Regions from separate parts of the Mus musculus genome. Here region 2 is reported to be linked to region 1. The links are microRNA targets in miRTarBase. Many come from high-throughput screens and were not tested one by one. Region 1 holds a microRNA gene; the other region holds the end of a gene's coding sequence.

The links. Region 1 holds the annotated microRNA mmu-miR-698-3p (CAUUCUCGUUUCCUUCCCU, at 2,534-2,552, shown strand). A microRNA usually pairs through its seed, bases 2 to 8, with sites in the 3' UTR of a target mRNA and lowers its output. Matches are read on the target gene's strand: a 7mer-m8 pairs with bases 2 to 8, a 7mer-A1 pairs with bases 2 to 7 and ends in A, and an 8mer does both.
Region 2: the mRNA of Kcnn1 is a reported target of mmu-miR-698-3p. The part of its 3' UTR that is shown has no 7-base or 8-base seed match.

The regions. Positions count from the first base shown.
Region 1 is chr4:124,741,319-124,749,145 of GRCm38, forward strand. It overlaps Mir698 (microRNA 698), which reads left to right and starts at 2,463; the gene lies at 2,463-2,571. It overlaps Inpp5b (inositol polyphosphate-5-phosphatase B), which reads left to right and starts at 532. Exons shown (of 24, transcript NM_008385.4): 1 at 532-598; 2 at 1,146-1,272; 3 at 1,618-1,712; 4 at 2,318-2,415; 5 at 2,556-2,585; 6 at 4,754-4,864. The coding sequence starts at 1,216. Gm12915 (predicted gene 12915) reads right to left here. Exons shown (of 4, transcript NR_151694.1): 2 at 3,669-3,861; 3 at 456-603.
Region 2 is chr8:70,840,171-70,847,997 of GRCm38, reverse strand. Kcnn1 (potassium intermediate/small conductance calcium-activated channel, subfamily N, member 1) reads left to right here. Exons shown (of 10, transcript NM_032397.3): 8 at 1,226-1,234; 9 at 1,434-1,503; 10 at 3,437-4,834. The coding sequence ends at 3,682. Among named protein-coding and RNA genes, the nearest start is that of Arrdc2, 4.4 kb to the right of the region's middle.

The sequences.
Region 1 (7,827 bases):
TAAGAACATTTAGCAGTTCCTAGACGGGAAAATGACACAGGAATTGGAGTTGGACTTCCCTCTGGGCACCCAGCACTTATTGGCTACGGACTTTGTCAAACAGTTTTGTCTCTCTGTTCCTCCGTTTCTCCACCTGGCAAGTGGAGAAGGTGACATACATGAAGCCAGGGCACGGTAGTTATCTGGAAGTGTTTCAGAATAATAGAAAGCTGTCCCTTTCTGCATGTGAAGAGTTGAGGATGGACTTAACTTGAAAATAAAAGTTAACATCATTTTTTCCGTTAGGGTAACATGACCACTTCCTTCTGCCTTGGACATGGGCCTTGGCCCTTTGATTTAGTGGGCTGAGAAAGGCGTTCCTCACGCAGGCTTTCCAGAACTGGGACGCCCGAGTATGCTTGAATACAGACTGTAGATTCTAGATTTTTAAATAGAGTAAGGGCGGGGAGACCCACCTACTCGTCCATGTCCGACTCGGGCATGCTGGGACTTGCAGGCTGGCTGTCCGTCCTGTGACGCCAGGGCCGCTGGGAAATGTAGTCCTTAATCTGCCCTGGAACGGAGGTGTCCTGCAGGCCCACCGGTGACAGCTCGGGAGGTAGGCTGCAATGACAAGGATCTGAAATAAGTGCAGAGTGGGAGGGGGCTTGCAAGCTGGTTGCTGGGGCCCTTGTCCTGTGGGTGCCAGAATGGACACTCCTAACCTGCTGCTGATGCAACGGGGCCTGTTGGGTGGGGTGAGGGGCAAGGAGCAACGGGACACCCACAGGCTCCGAGGAAAGAGCAGCGGGGCTGGGTTATTTCTCCAGAATAAGACCCTCCTAGCTGAGACTGAGGCGAAGGCTGTCTCCCTACCCCTATTTGGACACACCACCAACCTTTCCCAGAGAAGAGCCAGATGGACCACAACTGCTCCCTGAAGAGGGCATCAGAGCTGTACCCAGAAGCAAGGAGACCAGAGAGCATACTGAACTCCACTGGGAACATCTGGGGCGACACCGAGCAAGGGGCAAAGGGGTAGAAACCCATTTTCTGGAAACGTTGAGAGACCCATTGTAGGAAAGACGGGGAAGGCCAGAAGGAGAAGAGAGATGACCAGGCTCTCTCTTTTCCCTCCACAAAGGCCCCTTTCTTCATCCCCACAGCCCCCCGAAGCAGCTCTAATACGGAATGGGAGGTTCCCACCTGCCCTACCCCAGGGTTTGACAGCTCAGCATGGACCAGTCTGTGGCAATCCAGGAGACCCTGGTTGAGGGGGAATACTGCGTCATCATATCCTTCCCAGTTGTAGGTTGCCATCCAGATCGTGCCTGCTTCAGCCTTGGGAGGTGGGATGGAGGGTGTGGAAAAATTTCTCTCGAAGCCATATGGGAAAAGGTAAACCAATATTTACCAAGTATTCACTTGGCTCTGGTCTCTCTACCAGGTGCTTTACATAGGTAGCTATTTTCTCAACCAGCTGCAAAGTTGGAGACTATTATACCCATTTTGCAGATGAGGAAAACTCAGAGAGGTGAAGTCGTTTGCCAGTGGGAGAGGGAAAGGCAGCGTGGTGGAGTGGGCCGGATGGGGAGTTTCGCCCTTTGGCTTTCAGTTTCCCTTCACTCTGAGCAGCAGGCAGTCCAAGGTGTGCTGTGTAAGGGAGATAGCCGGCAGAGCCGCCTGCTCGGGCTGGTGAGGTACCGGCTGGAAAATGACGCCCAGGAGCATGCGTAAGTAGGGCTCAGACTGCCTGTGTGGGCCATGGGTGGTTCTTCAGTATCCTCCAGCTGGACTTCAGTCATTCTGTCTGAGTCTCCTAGACTAATTAACACAATGATAGTGTTCTGGAACACCGTGTTCTAAGCCTTTAATAATCAGCAAGATGTGATGTGGAAGCTTTTAGAGGAGAGGCAGTTATATCAAACTTGGCCAGATTTTGAGTTTGTGTGAGTGCCCGAGTTTAAATCCGGATGCTGCAATCCTATGCAAATTGTTCTTCATAGCTCCATTTACCCAGAGTAAAGTACAGAGGGTTGAACTGGGAACGAGCGAGCACATGCACCAGGAAGCTGAGGCAGGACTGTCACAAATTCCAGGCCATCCTGGGCTACATTCTAAGCACAGCCTAGGCTACAGAGTGAGACCCTACCTCAAAAAGGGAAGGGATGGGGTTGAAGAGATGGTTGGAATGTGTACTGCTCTTGCATCACTGGACACTGTGCATGGAAAGGGCCTGAGCCATGCGTATGGCTAGGGCACTGCCAGCTAAGCACTAGGGACCCACAGGTGACCACAAGCACTCTAAGCTGGGCCTTCCACTCATTTCTGCCCTTAGTCTCTTCCTGTATACACACCGGAGGATGGCCATCACAGGAGACGATGTATCTCTGGACCAGATAGTGCCACTCTCAAAAGATTTTATGCTGGAAGAAGGTGCCAGTTGGGCCGGGTGGTATGCTCTCCTCTGGGTGGCCCCCAACTCATCTCTGCCCTCACTGTAAGGGAGGGTGGTGGCTATGTGGGTGGGACAGGGATGTTCAGTTGCTAAAGACATTCTCGTTTCCTTCCCTCAGTGTCCCCAGATGGTGAACTCTACATCCTTGGTGAGTAGCCCTTTCAATCTGGGTCCCTGTTAGGTCAATGGGACAGGTTCCAAAGACAGAAAGATGAACGAGAACATGCCTGGATGGGAGTGATGCTAGGTGCCTGAAATCCTAGCATGTGGGAGGCTTGAGGCAGGGGGATTGCCTTGAATTTGAGGTCAGTCTGGACTTACATTGTGAGTTCTAGGCAAGCCGTAGACTGACAACAAACCAAAAGAGAAAATTCTTGGGTTGGTGGAACGGCTTAGTGGAGAAAGGTGCTTGCTGTCAAGACCAACTTTCCGAGTTCGAGTCCCAGAACCCACTAGGTAGAATGAAAGATCCAGCTTCTGGGCTTTTACTCTAGAGAAAACTTTCCTGGTGTCCATACTACGGTGACTAAGAATCAGGTGCTACCCTCTACCAGCTCTTTTTCCTTAATCACCCCTTGTCAGTGCGTTTCAGTCCTCCAGGTGGGCTCCATCATCACCTCAGACACCACAAGTTGTAACCCTCCTCCTCCTCCCCTTCCTCCTCTCCTTCTTCCTTCTCTTCTTCCTCTTTCTCCTGCTGCTGTTCCTCTTCCCCCTTCTTTCCCTCCTCCTCCTCTTCTTCCTCCTCCTCCCCCTACTCCCTCTCCCTCTCCTTTTCCTTCTCTTCTTCCTCCTCTTCTTCTTTTTGGTTTTCCAAGACAGAGTTTCTCCATGTAGCCCTGGCTGTCCTGGAACTCACTGTGTAGACCAGACTAGCCTCGAATTCCTCTGCCTCTGAGTGCTGGCATTAAAGACATGTGCCGCCACCACTGCCCCGCCAGTTCGCTCTTCTTAAAAAAAAAAAAACTATCCCATGCTCCTCTTCTCCCCTTCTCTCCCTGAGCCCTTTCTAACTTCCTTCCCCCTGTACCTTTCCCCATGGTGATTCGCCTGGCCTCAGTCCTTTGAACCAGTGAGCCCCCACCCAAGCAGCTTCCCAATAAACCTACCTTTAATGTAAAAAAACTTACCACACTAACTATTTAGAGTGTGTGTATGTGTACTTGAATTACCATGGTGTCTGTGTGGCGACCAAAGGACAGCTCGTTCAGGCTTGGCAGCAAACACTTACCTGTTGAGCCATCTCCAGTGGCCCCAGGGTCCCCTGCTCTTGTAAGTGCCACATCTTTCAGCTTGGGCCTCTCCTGTGTGTAGTCTTTTCTCCTCATCATGTCATTCTCAGGGCCTGGCTCTACGGTGGACCAGCAGATAGGCAGGTGCTGCAGTGCACTTCTGCATGCTCTTCAGTTCACAGAGCTGGAGAACTTAAATCCACATTACATCCCAATCACACAGCAATCTCCCAATCTCCTCTTCCCCCAAATGTAGGAGTGCTCTGCTGCAAGCACACCTATGTGCCATCAGATCCCTTTATAGATGGTCATGTGGTCATGAGCAACATGTGGTTGCTGGGAATTGAACTCAGGACTTCTGGAAGAGTAGCCAGTGTTCTTAACTGCTGAGCCATTTCACTAGCCCAAGTTTAGGCTTTCTGATTTGCCATTTTGCAGATTCTCTCTCTCTTTTTTTTTATGTTTTTTTGTTTTTTTTCAAGACTTATTATATATACAGTATTCTGCCTGTATATGTGCCTGCATGCCAGAATAGGACATCAGATCTCATTATTGATGGTTGTGAGCCATCATAGGGATGCTGGGAATTGAACTTAGGAACTTTGGAAAAATAGCCAGTGCTCTTAACCTCCAAGCTATCTCTCCAGATCTCCTTTAAATAGTTTCTCAAGGCAGGGTTTCTCTCTGTTTCCAGGCCTGGCTGTCCTGGAACTTGCTCTGTACACCAGGCTGGCTTTGAACTTACAGAGTTGTGTCTGCCTCTGCCTCCTGAGTGCTTGGATTAAAGGTGTGTGCCACCTCCACCAGGCAGAGTCCATTCTTTTTTTAAAAAAATATTTATTTTTAACTTATGTGCATTGATGTCTTGCCTTTGTGTATGTCTCTGTGAGGGCATCAGATCCCCTGGCACTGGGGTTACAGACAGTTATAAGCTGCTATGTGGGTTCTGGGGATTGAACTCGGGTCCTCTGGAAGGGTTAAGTGCTCCTAACAGCTGAGCCAGCTCTCTAGCTCGCAGAGTCTCCTCTTAATACATTTTAGTATTTAGCTACTGGTGACTGCATTTCTTGTCTCCTCTCTACAGGCTCTGATGTGACAGTACAATTGAACACAGCTGAACTCAAGCTTGTATTCCAACTTCCCTTTGGTTCACACACCAGAACGTTCCTCCAGGAAGTGGCCAGAGCCTGTCCAGGTAGGTAAGAGCCAGGTTTCCTGGAAAGGCTGTGTTGGCTGAGAGCACTGCTGTACTCTCTTGGTAGTGACAGTTGACTTTCCAACCCCATTGGGGTCATACAACTCAGTTTCCGCACCATCTCAAGGCTGCTGGCATGGAGTCACAGTGCCTGGGCTGCCAGCTAGCTACACGTTTGCTTTCCCTTTTTGAGATGAGGGTTTCGCTCCCTATTCCTGATCCTTCTGCCTCAGCTTCCCTCCCGAGTGCTGGCCTTACAAGCTTGTGTACCACACCTGGCCGGCGTTTGGTTTTCTGTTTCTGGTTACTAAACCTGAATGTTAACTGGGCTGTGACTCTGAGGATTCGGGGCTTCCTCCAAGTTAGCAGAGGGGTCCAAATTCTCCAGTATCCATAGCTACAACCAAGAGAAGTCTGTCAAATGTATTCCGCTCAAACCCTGCTCTGTTCCCCATTGCAGCTGGAGAAGAAAAAAAAAAAAAAAGGCTAGCTTTGGCCCAGCAAGAAGAAGTTGGTGCCATTTGACAAAATTTGTTTAGATGGGAGATCAGCCAGGCAAGCAGAGAGGTTGTGTACAGAGCGGAGGCCCAGTGACAGAGAATGCAAATTCATGCTGCCAGGTGCTGGGGCTCAGGTGCTCACCGGGCACTGATAAGGAGGAGTCCCTTTAAAGCTAATGTCTGGTCTCTGCAGGAACGTACGAGGGTTTGTCTCCTATGACAGCTGCCTATGGGGCCTTAACATCCGGCTCCAAGCATTTCTCTAGGTGTGCCAGGAAGGTGACCGACTTTGGAGGCTAGTTTGGTAAAAGGAAATCAGGACAAGAATTAATGGAGCCTTGGATGGGTTTAAGTGCTGTTTTGTAAATAGTTAATAATAAATTAATGAATAAATAAGTAAATAAACAAAATGTAACATAATAAAGATAATTTATGATTGTTAGTAGTGGTTGCAAGCAAGGGTAATAATAATTATTAATATTAATATTGAGATTGGACATCCCTAACATCGAAGTATCAAAGTGGAAATCTTCCAAAATCCAAACTTTTTTTTTTCTGAGAAAGGGTTTCTCTGTATATCTTTGACTGTCCTGGAACTGGCTCTGCAGACCAGGTTGGCCTCAAACTCAGAGATTCACCAGCTTCTGTTTCCTGAGTAGTTTGTTTAAAGGCATGTGCCACCATGGCCTGGCATATCTAAAGTTTATCATTGATGTGTCATGCTTTAGACTCCTTCTTTCTTCCTTCCTCTCTCTCTCCCCCCCCCCATCCTTCTTTCCTTCCCTCTCTCCCTCTCTCTCTTTTGGTATTTTTGAGACAGGGTCTCAGTACACATAGGTCTGGGTATCTTGAAACTCAGTATGTGGACCAGGCTGGTCTTGAACTCACAGAGAATCTGCCTCCCAAATGCTGGAATTAAAGGTGTTTGGCACCATATCGAGCTAGAGTCTTTTCTAAGCCTGTTAACTCTTACCATACCTTACAAGGTTGGTATTATCAGTGTCTCTTTCTATAGATAAAGGAACTCAGGCCTTAGAGAGGGCAAGGGCCCTGCCTGCATGTATGGCTAGTGAGCTGGCAAGGTGGGTTCCTCCTAGGTGAGGCCAGGATTGCCTGGGTGTCCTCTGCATCCTGGAGGGCTTTGCTTGAGAGCTTCCTTGGCTCGTGCCTTTCTTTTTATGTAAACAGCTCAGAGGAAGCTTCCCGGAGGAGGTGACATTGAAGCTCAGACTATAAGGAAAACAAGCACCTCTCCCACTCCCCACCCCCCAAATCAGGCAAAAGAAGGAGAAAGGGCATTGGGCATCCGGGAGCAGTGGTTGGTGCTACTCAGCTCGGACAGGTGTGGAGAGCCAGAGGATTGAGCAAAGGGCAGCTCAGGAAGAGTAACAAAGTCCAGAGAGGCTTGGACTCTGCCCTGCAGCTTGTGGAGAGCCCTTCAAAGAGTTTCCAAATGTTTCCAGTAAGATTTGGCAGTTTGAGACACTCCACTGGTGACAGGTATGGAAGGCAGTGAGAGCCTGGTGCAGGGAGAGCAGAACAGTACGTAGGTGGCAGGTGCCACCATGGTTCAGACATAAAGCATAAGGCTTAGGGGGCTGGATAGGTGGCTCCGCCCTTAAGAACACTAGCTGTTCTTGCAGAGGCCCTAGGTTCAATTCCCACCATCCACGGGACAGCTTATAACTACCTGTAATTCTAGTTATAGAGGACCTGACACCCTCTTTTGGCCTCCTTGTGTACTATTTATGTGAGGTGTAAATGTACAGATTCTGGAAAAACATTCATTCCCACAAACTGTTTTTTAAAAATGAGGCTTAGACTAGGGGTGTGGTCATAGGACTTGGGACGATGGGATAGATAGAATAGAAAGTAAGGAAACCATTCAGATGAGACCCAAGGTACCACCGGGGCCAGGAGTTTGCACTGTGTTGACAACTTCATCCTAACTGATCAGAACACTGTCTGTACAACTACACACTAGATGAATATTTGCTGAGTGGATGAACAGAATATGGTATTGTTATCTGTGGTCAGGGTCCAGGCTGAGTGTTCCAGGTTCTTGGCCTCTTATCCGAAGCATTGAAAAGTGGGGCTCACACAGATTTGCAAAAAAAGGCAAGCTAACGTCAGCAGAACAAAGGCATAGGGTAAGTTATAGAGGGAGACACTGTCAAGATCAACTCAAGGGTCCTGGAATATCACCTAGTGTTAGAAGGGACTTGTTACTAAGGGGTGTAGTATTGATTGATTGATAGGTTAAGTCATGTACTCATTTTTTCTATTGTGCGTGCCCCTCCCCATAAAGCACCTGATTTTAATCATATGCACTCCCAATTATGCATAGGTATAAAGTGGTAAGTAGAGAAATTTCCCCTGAAATATTACCAGAGGACACAATTTTGCTCAACTTCCCATTTACCCAAACTAGTTCAGGCCAGATTAGTCCTTCCATTCTTCATA
Region 2 (7,827 bases), not on the chromosome of region 1:
TAGGACATGGTGGTCAGGTGCTGCCCCGCCTCTCCATCACCCGCCCCTCTGTTGCCCCTCCCCTTCGTCGCTCCCCCTCCATCACTCTTCCCTGTGTCCTCCAGCAGTTATTGAGGTCAAATTCGGATTAGGGCCTAGAGGGAGACAGAGGCTTGGACAGGAATCCCAGAGGCAGCCTTATCAAGGACGGTGTGAAGCCCAGGCTGAGGTAGGGAGGTGGGGGGAACCATCACAACTAGGGCTTGCTGAGGAGAACCCTGTCAATGGAACTAGTGTTTGAGCTCCTAGGAAACCAAAGAAATAAAACCAAAAAGGGACGGTCCTGGGAAAAATACACAGAGGCTCATGTGATTTGGGCGTCTGAATCTTCCCAGCCGCGGTGGTGGTCCTTGGTGGGAAGAGGCTGCAGCCCCTCGGTCCTCTTGAGCTCCTGTTGCTGGACGTGCTGAGTGTCTGTCTGCCCCTCTCCCTCCCTCCCTCCCTCCCTCCCTCCCTCCCTCCCTCCCTCCCTCCCTCCCTCCCTCCCTCCCTCCCTCTTTCTTTCTTTCTTTCTTTCTTTCTTTCTTTCTTTCTTTCTTTCTTTCTTTCTTTCTTTCTTTCTTTCTTTCTTTCTTTTTGCCAGTGATACTGTGACTCTCCAAGGGTGCCAATGTCAGAACTCTGGGTCTTAGGAGGCTGTCCACACCCCTGGGGAGGCATATGCAGGATGTGTCATAGAGAGAGCGGAACCTACCTTTGGCAGCCTCTTCTCCAGGGGTCAAGGGCACCACACCTGATCAGCAGCTATGGGTTCATATCCTGTCTCTGTGCTGATCCCTGATCCTGTCTGTATGCTGATCCCTGATCCTGTCTGTATGCTGATCCCTATGGCACTGCCCTTGCCAACCTCTGTTTTCATCCAGGATGTTTTCTAAGCAAGTTGCCCATGGAGGCAAGGTGCCACTCAGAGGACTGTGGGAGAAGGGCAGTGAATAGCATCTACCCAGGGCTGCCGGGAAGTCCCCGGGGTGACAGGGCGCAGGTGTCGCCTTATGAGGCCAGATCCCTGCCACATGGGGGCAGTAGCTCCTTGGCAGCCCAGGAGCCCCTGCTGGGAACTGGGGAGGCACCTGGCTACGGGGCTGGGGCTGCGGCCACTCAGCCAGTCACTGCATGAGATTAAAATTAAACTGTGCTTTTTCTCTTTCTCCGTTTTCCTTTTCTGCACTCTCCTGGCTCCTCCCAGGGCTCAGAAGTAAGTCTTGGGGTGACTGGAAGTCTGGTGGTGCATGATGCCCGTGGGGGGTCCCTAGTGGACAGAGAATGTGTCTGTCTTAGTCTTGTGGATGGGCCTGCATCCAGGCTCTTGGAAATGGCCTGATCTGGACCAAGATTACAAATGCATTCCACCCTCAGCCCCGAGTGACCTGCCCCTGTCCCTGCCCTATCCCCAGGCTCCGAAGTGTGAAGATTGAACAAGGGAAGGTGAACGATCAGGCCAACACGCTGGCTGAGCTGGCCAAGGTGAGCATCACCAGGACGGGACGGGAGGAATGGGCTTCCAGGGACACGGGGATAGTGTCTAATCAGAGGAGGCAGAAACCCACAATGCAGCATCAAGTATTTATGCTCAACTTGGCTCTTCAGTTTAAATTCATGAGTAATATTCCAGGCATCCACAGCCAGGGTTCTAGCTCCTTCAGAGGCTGAGGCAGAAGGATCCTTTGAGGCTAGGAGATCAAAAATAGCACAGGCTATATAGAGACTCAGCATTGACTACATTTACAGCATAGGATTCTAGACATGGACTCCACCCTGAGCCACACCTCCAGCCCCTCACTGGGGGAGTTTAGGCAGAGACTCCACTTTCTAGTCCCATTCTACCCAGTAATGTCTTCAGAAGATATTAAATTCTTTGTTGTTTGTTTTTAAATATTTATTTATTTAATATGTACGTGAGTACACTGCTGCTGTCTTCAGCCACACCAGAAGAGGGCATCAGATCCCATTACAGGTGGTTGTGAGCCACCATGTGGTTGCTGGGATTTGATCTCAGGACCTCTGGAAGAGCAGTCAGTGTTCTTAACCACTGAACCATCTCTCCAACCTCCAACCTCCATTTTTTTTTTTTTGGAGTTTTTGAGACAGGGTTTCTCTGTGTAGCCCTGGCTGTCCTGGAACTCACTTTGTAGACCAGGCTGGCTTTGAACTCAGAAATCCACCTGCCTCTGACTCCCAAGTGCTGGGATTAAAGGTGTGTGCCACCACTGCCCGACCTTTTTGTTGTTTTTAAGACAGTGTGACATGTAGCCCAGTCTATCCTGGAATTCACTGTGTAGCCAGGGACAACTTAGAATTCCTGATCCTCCTGCCTTGTAGCTGCCTGCAGCTACACGAACCGGGTTCCTGAATCGGAGGCTGGGGCTGTATGGGAGGAAATGGTGAGAGAAATAACGAGACCAAGACAAGATACTGATCAAGGCCCAAAGTTTACTTAAGAGTCTGAGCTTATAAAGGTGAAAGGGCCATCCTCCAACACTCCAGGTTCTCCTTGCTCTGCCGCCAGGCTGTCAGTACTTGGTGGCCAGGCTGTTGCTTATTCAGGATCGGCTCAGGAAGACAGGTTCAGCCTGTCAGCAGGCAGCAGCATCTTGGAGAAGAGCACAGAGGGGGCAGAACACTAGACCTAGCTATGTCTCGGAAGTCTCCACCCCAGGTGGTCCCCTTCACAGTGGCAGAACAGGTCTGAGCCAGCCTGCTCACCGCTGGGGGACGCTACACTGCCTCAGCTTCTAGAGTTCAGAAGTCATAATGGTTCATTTCACATAGTTTACTCCAGTACTCACATGGCTGCAGGAGGATGATTGCTTCAAATTCAAGGACAGCCTGGAGACTGTCTCAAGAAATACACACATACATATAAATAAAAACCAACCAAACAAATAAAGCCAAGCTGGGTCTGGCGGCACAAACCTTTAATCCCAGGTCTCTGGCTTCTGAGTTTGAGGCCAGTCTGGTCCAGGTAGGGAGTTCCAGGCCAGCCAAGGCTACATGGTTATTTATGCCCTGTCTCAATAAATGAATAAACAAACAAACAATACCAGAGAGGGCTATGAGCTAACAGTTATGGGTGTCTTCAAATGTCACATCCTGGTTTCTGGACAAGTAGGGACAGGTAAGCTACAGTCTGGGCAAAGCCATGGTGGCCCAAAGAAGAAAACCATTCTCTAGCTCCATCTGAGCCTGACATGTTCACCAGCTCCCTGGCGGCCTGTGTTGGGACTCTGCACCTCTGGCGCCCCCTGCTGGTCACACAGCCGGCGAGCTGCTGGAACAAAAACTGCTCAGTCCCCTGCTCTTTAATCCTCATGCTGGCCCCTACTGTCCTTAGCCCTCTGCCCTCAGCCATCTCCTGGTCCCTCCCTTTATCACTCGGTCTGTCTCTCCATCTCTGTAGGCACAGAGCATCGCATATGAGGTGGTGTCAGAGCTGCAGGCCCAGCAGGAGGAGTTGGAGGCACGCCTAGCCGCCTTGGAGAGCCGACTGGATGTCCTGGGTGCCTCCCTGCAGGCTCTACCAGGCCTTATAGCCCAAGCCATATGCCCTCTACCACCACCCTGGCCTGGGCCTGGTCACCTGGCCACAGCCACCCAGAGCCCACAAAGCCACTGGCTGCCCACCATGGGATCAGACTGTGGGTGATGGCTGCTGACCGCTAGACTGCTCCATCTCAGCCATCGTGTGGCCACAGCTAGCTCCTTGCCGTTTTGGACCTCCGGACTACTGCATTTAGAAGCTTGGGTGAACTGAGCCGACTGGACTGGCACTCATCCTTCTGAGGCTGGGCCACAGGATCCAGGTCCCCTTAGCTGTCCCAGGCCCCAGGAGGGCAAGGAGTAGTAGCAGGGGCCTCAACATTTCTAAGTAAATCAGGAGCTTCCAGCCCGCTTTCTGTTGACATGCAGGGGGCTGCAAACATCTCCCCAGAGGAGGTAGATGACCCCACCTGGGGATTCCTTAATGGACGGGGACAGACGTGGAAAGTCACTGCACATGCATTGAGTATCTACTGTATACAGGGACTGAAACAATGGCTTTTCTTCAGGATCTATCTAACTGGAGTAAGATACAAACAAATGAGAATTCAGAGAGGTGAGGCCACTTGCCTGTAGCCACACAGCAATGGTCTGAGGCAAACACACTTGTTAAACAGCATAAGCGGATAGATTCTACTTGGGGATCCTGATGTCAAAGTAAGGACACACGGGAGGGTGAGAGGCCAGGGTTACAGACGAGCAGAGTCACCACGGTCACTTCAGACCTTAGGCTTCAGACTTTGGGTACTTGGGGAACACTGAGACACCTCACAGGCATGGGCGGCTTATCAAGAGCAGCCTAAGTCACAGTGTCCTCTGATCAGACTTTCAGCCACCTGTCTTGGGAGATAGTGGACCTGTGTGGGAACCCAGAGGCCCAGTTTGGATTCTATAAGTTTGTGGGGTGGAGCTCTGGGGTGGACCTGGGCAGGCTTTATTCCCCTGCTGCTGTGGGAAACAGGCCTAACCCAACCCCCACACGGGTCAGACAGTAGGTGCTCAATAAATACCCCCTCCTTCCTAAGACTGCCCATGAGGGCTTGGGAAACATGGACCCATCCTGCCCCTTCTGAGCCCAGTATTAGCTCCTGTCCATCAGGAAGGGGACTGAGATCAAAACAGGTCCAGAAGAAATAAACAAGGCAGGTCAATGTGACACATGCCTTTATTCCTAACACCTAGGAGGCAAAGGCAGGTGGGTTGCAGTGTATACAGTGTAAGACGTGGGGTGGCACAGAAATAAACAAGGCTGTAGGTGACTTGGGATTCTGGTGAAACATTTGGGCGTGGAGGACAACAGGGTCCTTCAGATTCCAACTGCGCGCTGCGTGTTTCTAAGGTCTGTGCATCACCGGGAGGCGGGCTGGGGCTAAATGAGAGTATAAAATGGCCTGGCGTGGTGCAAGCCTTTACTCCCAGCATTTGGGAGGCAGAGGCAGGCGGATTTCTGAGTTCGAGGCCAGCCTGGTCTACAAAGTGAGTTCCAGAACAGCCAGGGCTATACAGAAAACCAAAAAGAAAGGGAGGGGGGGAAGGACGGAGGGAAGGAGGGAGAGAGAGAGAATAAAACGCAGTTGTGAGGCCACAGATCGCCTCGGTCAGAGGACACATTTTCCCTGCCCCGGACTTAATAATCAACGTCATGGAGTAGGAAGTCCGGGTGTCTAGGGACCCGGTTCGTGGGACATGCAGCTGGGCTCCCTGCGCAGCTTCGGGCGCCGCGGGGGTCGGGGGCAGCGGCTGCCAGGCTGGTGATGTTCCAGGCAGCCGCACTGCTGCATGTGCAAGCACCTGAGGTGGTGGTGCGCGGTTGGAGCGCAGCGTAGGCGTGAACGCCGTGGCCAGTGACTTCACCGCAGCCAAGACAACCTGTGACACCAGCAGATGTTACTTCCAGGTGAGCTCGCAGAAGCAGTAGACACTCAGGAAGCTGAGGCAGGTGGATTTCCAGAAGCTCAAGGCCAGCCAGAGCTACACAGAGAGACCCTTTCTCAAGACTTTTCTTAAAAAGTTAGATGTGGCTGCACATATCTGTCATTCCAGCACTGGGGAGCTGAGGCAGGAGGATCAGGGCCTCATAATTTGAGGGTAGCCTGAGCTAACATATACTGTCACAAAAATCATAAGGGCTCCCAGAGTTAGGATTTCACATAGGGACGCCCATCTATCCTGGATGAAGTCCTCCTGCCTGGACTATGTCCCTATTTCAGGCCTGTGACAACCTAGAAATAGAGGTTGACAGTGGAACACTCCCAATTAAAGCAGGGGATTCAGGATCTGTGGAAACCCAGGATGGGCTAGAGAGTCTCCTGTTTAGGACCTCCAGGTGAGGGGGTCCCGATTCTCAAAGAAGCTTCTCGTGTGTGCACCCCGAATTCTGTCTCAGTTTACCTTGCCTTGTCTGCTACTCTGGGTCTGTCCCTGAAGTGGGGGCGGGTCTGATGGTGTTTGTGGATAGGAAGGGAATCTCTCCCACTGGGAAGGAGCCTGTGGCAGACTGCAATGGAAGACATTCCACTGTGAATCCGGGTCATAACCCCTCCCAGTTCACTTATGAGACCCCTAGGGCATTCCTATCCCTGAGCCTTGCTGTGTGCCTGCAGGGCAGATGTGGTGTCTCTGGGCTCCCTGCCCCTCACTCACTCACTCAGCTAAGCCAGGCTTCACTATGCCGGACCGTGAAATAGGCAGGTCAGAAGCGGGGCCCCACATCTGCTTCCAGCTGCTCTAAACAGATAAATCCTCAGTTGGATGAAGGAAGTCAGCGTCTGTCCAGTGGGCCAGGAAGAGACCCCGTTGAAACTTTTTTCTCCAGGTGACTCAAAGGAAATCCTGAAGCCACCCAGACTTTCACTGAGGACTTCCTCTAACACACACGGGGTGGGGTGGGGTTGGGTGGGGTGTGACTTACTCCGTGACTCCAGGCGAAGGCCAAACCCTCTCTCTGGTCTCCGAGACTTATCTGTGTGGTACACTCACTCTGGGAGGGGGCGTCTTCAATTCCCGCACTTTTCTTTAGTCCAAGACCTGTGGGACTTCTCTGGTCCTCCAGGCCGCCTTGTCCTCTCCAGGCTGCGGGCAGGGGGTGCTGCAGCCTGGTTCATAAGGCTGTGAACCTGTGTTCGTTCACACAGCTGGGCTCAGGAGTGAATACGAGCCGCAGTACATCCCATGTCCACCAGGGGGTGCCCGTGTCTACAAATGCCGGGCAGGTTTCCCTGCAGGAGCAATTCTTCCTGTTACATTCCAGAAGGGTCTCCCTATCCCCAGGTACACTGCAGCCCTTGACTCAAAATATCAGAGTCTCCTGGATTTGCTGCCTATGCACGGCAATCCCTTTCTGGATCTGAGGGACTAAGTTCCCCTAGGCCTTATGGAAGTGGAAATTGAGGCACATCCTCCTTGTCCCTTGCCAGGGTCCTTTAGGTTGAATGGGGGTGCCCAATGCGGGGGGGGGGGGAAAGGACCAACACTTCCCTGTCCCCACCAATTCGCATCGCCGGAAACAATGGGCCTGAAAAAAGGTGCCCCAGATAGGTCTGCAGGCGGCAGCGAGTTGATGATTAAGCTGGGAGGTTCTGGCCTAGTGGACACACCTGCGAACCCAGCATCTAAGAGGCTGACACCGGAGTTCCATTGCCTTGAGTTCCCGGGCAGCCTGGGTTACAGTGTGAGATCCTGTCTGAAAACATAAGAAAAAGCCAGGCCGGGCAGGAGAGATGGCTCAGTGGCTAAGAGCACAGACTGCTCTTCCAGAGATCCTGAGTTCAATTCCCAGGAACCACACAGTGGCTCACAGCCATCTGTAATGGCTCTCTTCTGGTGTGTCTGAAGACAGCTACAGTGTACTCATATACATATACAAATAAATAAATCTTTTTTTTTTTAAGTTTAAGAAACAGTCAGGTACTAAGGCAAACGCCTATCAAGTCAGCTCTGGAAGACTGGTGGAGGATGGCAAATTCAACATCGGGCTTGGTTAGAGTACGAGATGCATTGGAGGCTATGTGAGACTTGGCCTCAGAAGAAAATAAAGCTTTCGGGTTCAGAAATCCGATTTGAGCTTTAATTCCAGCACTCGGGAAGCAGTGGCAACCTCGCCTCTATGAGTTCAAGGCCAGCCTGGTCTACACAGTGAGTTCCAGACTAGCCAAGGGAACACAAAACTACTGGCCAATCTTGTAAACAGAAGCAGGGGGACTGTCTCAAGTCCCAGGTAAGTTTGGGCTACATGAGAACCCGTCTCAAAAA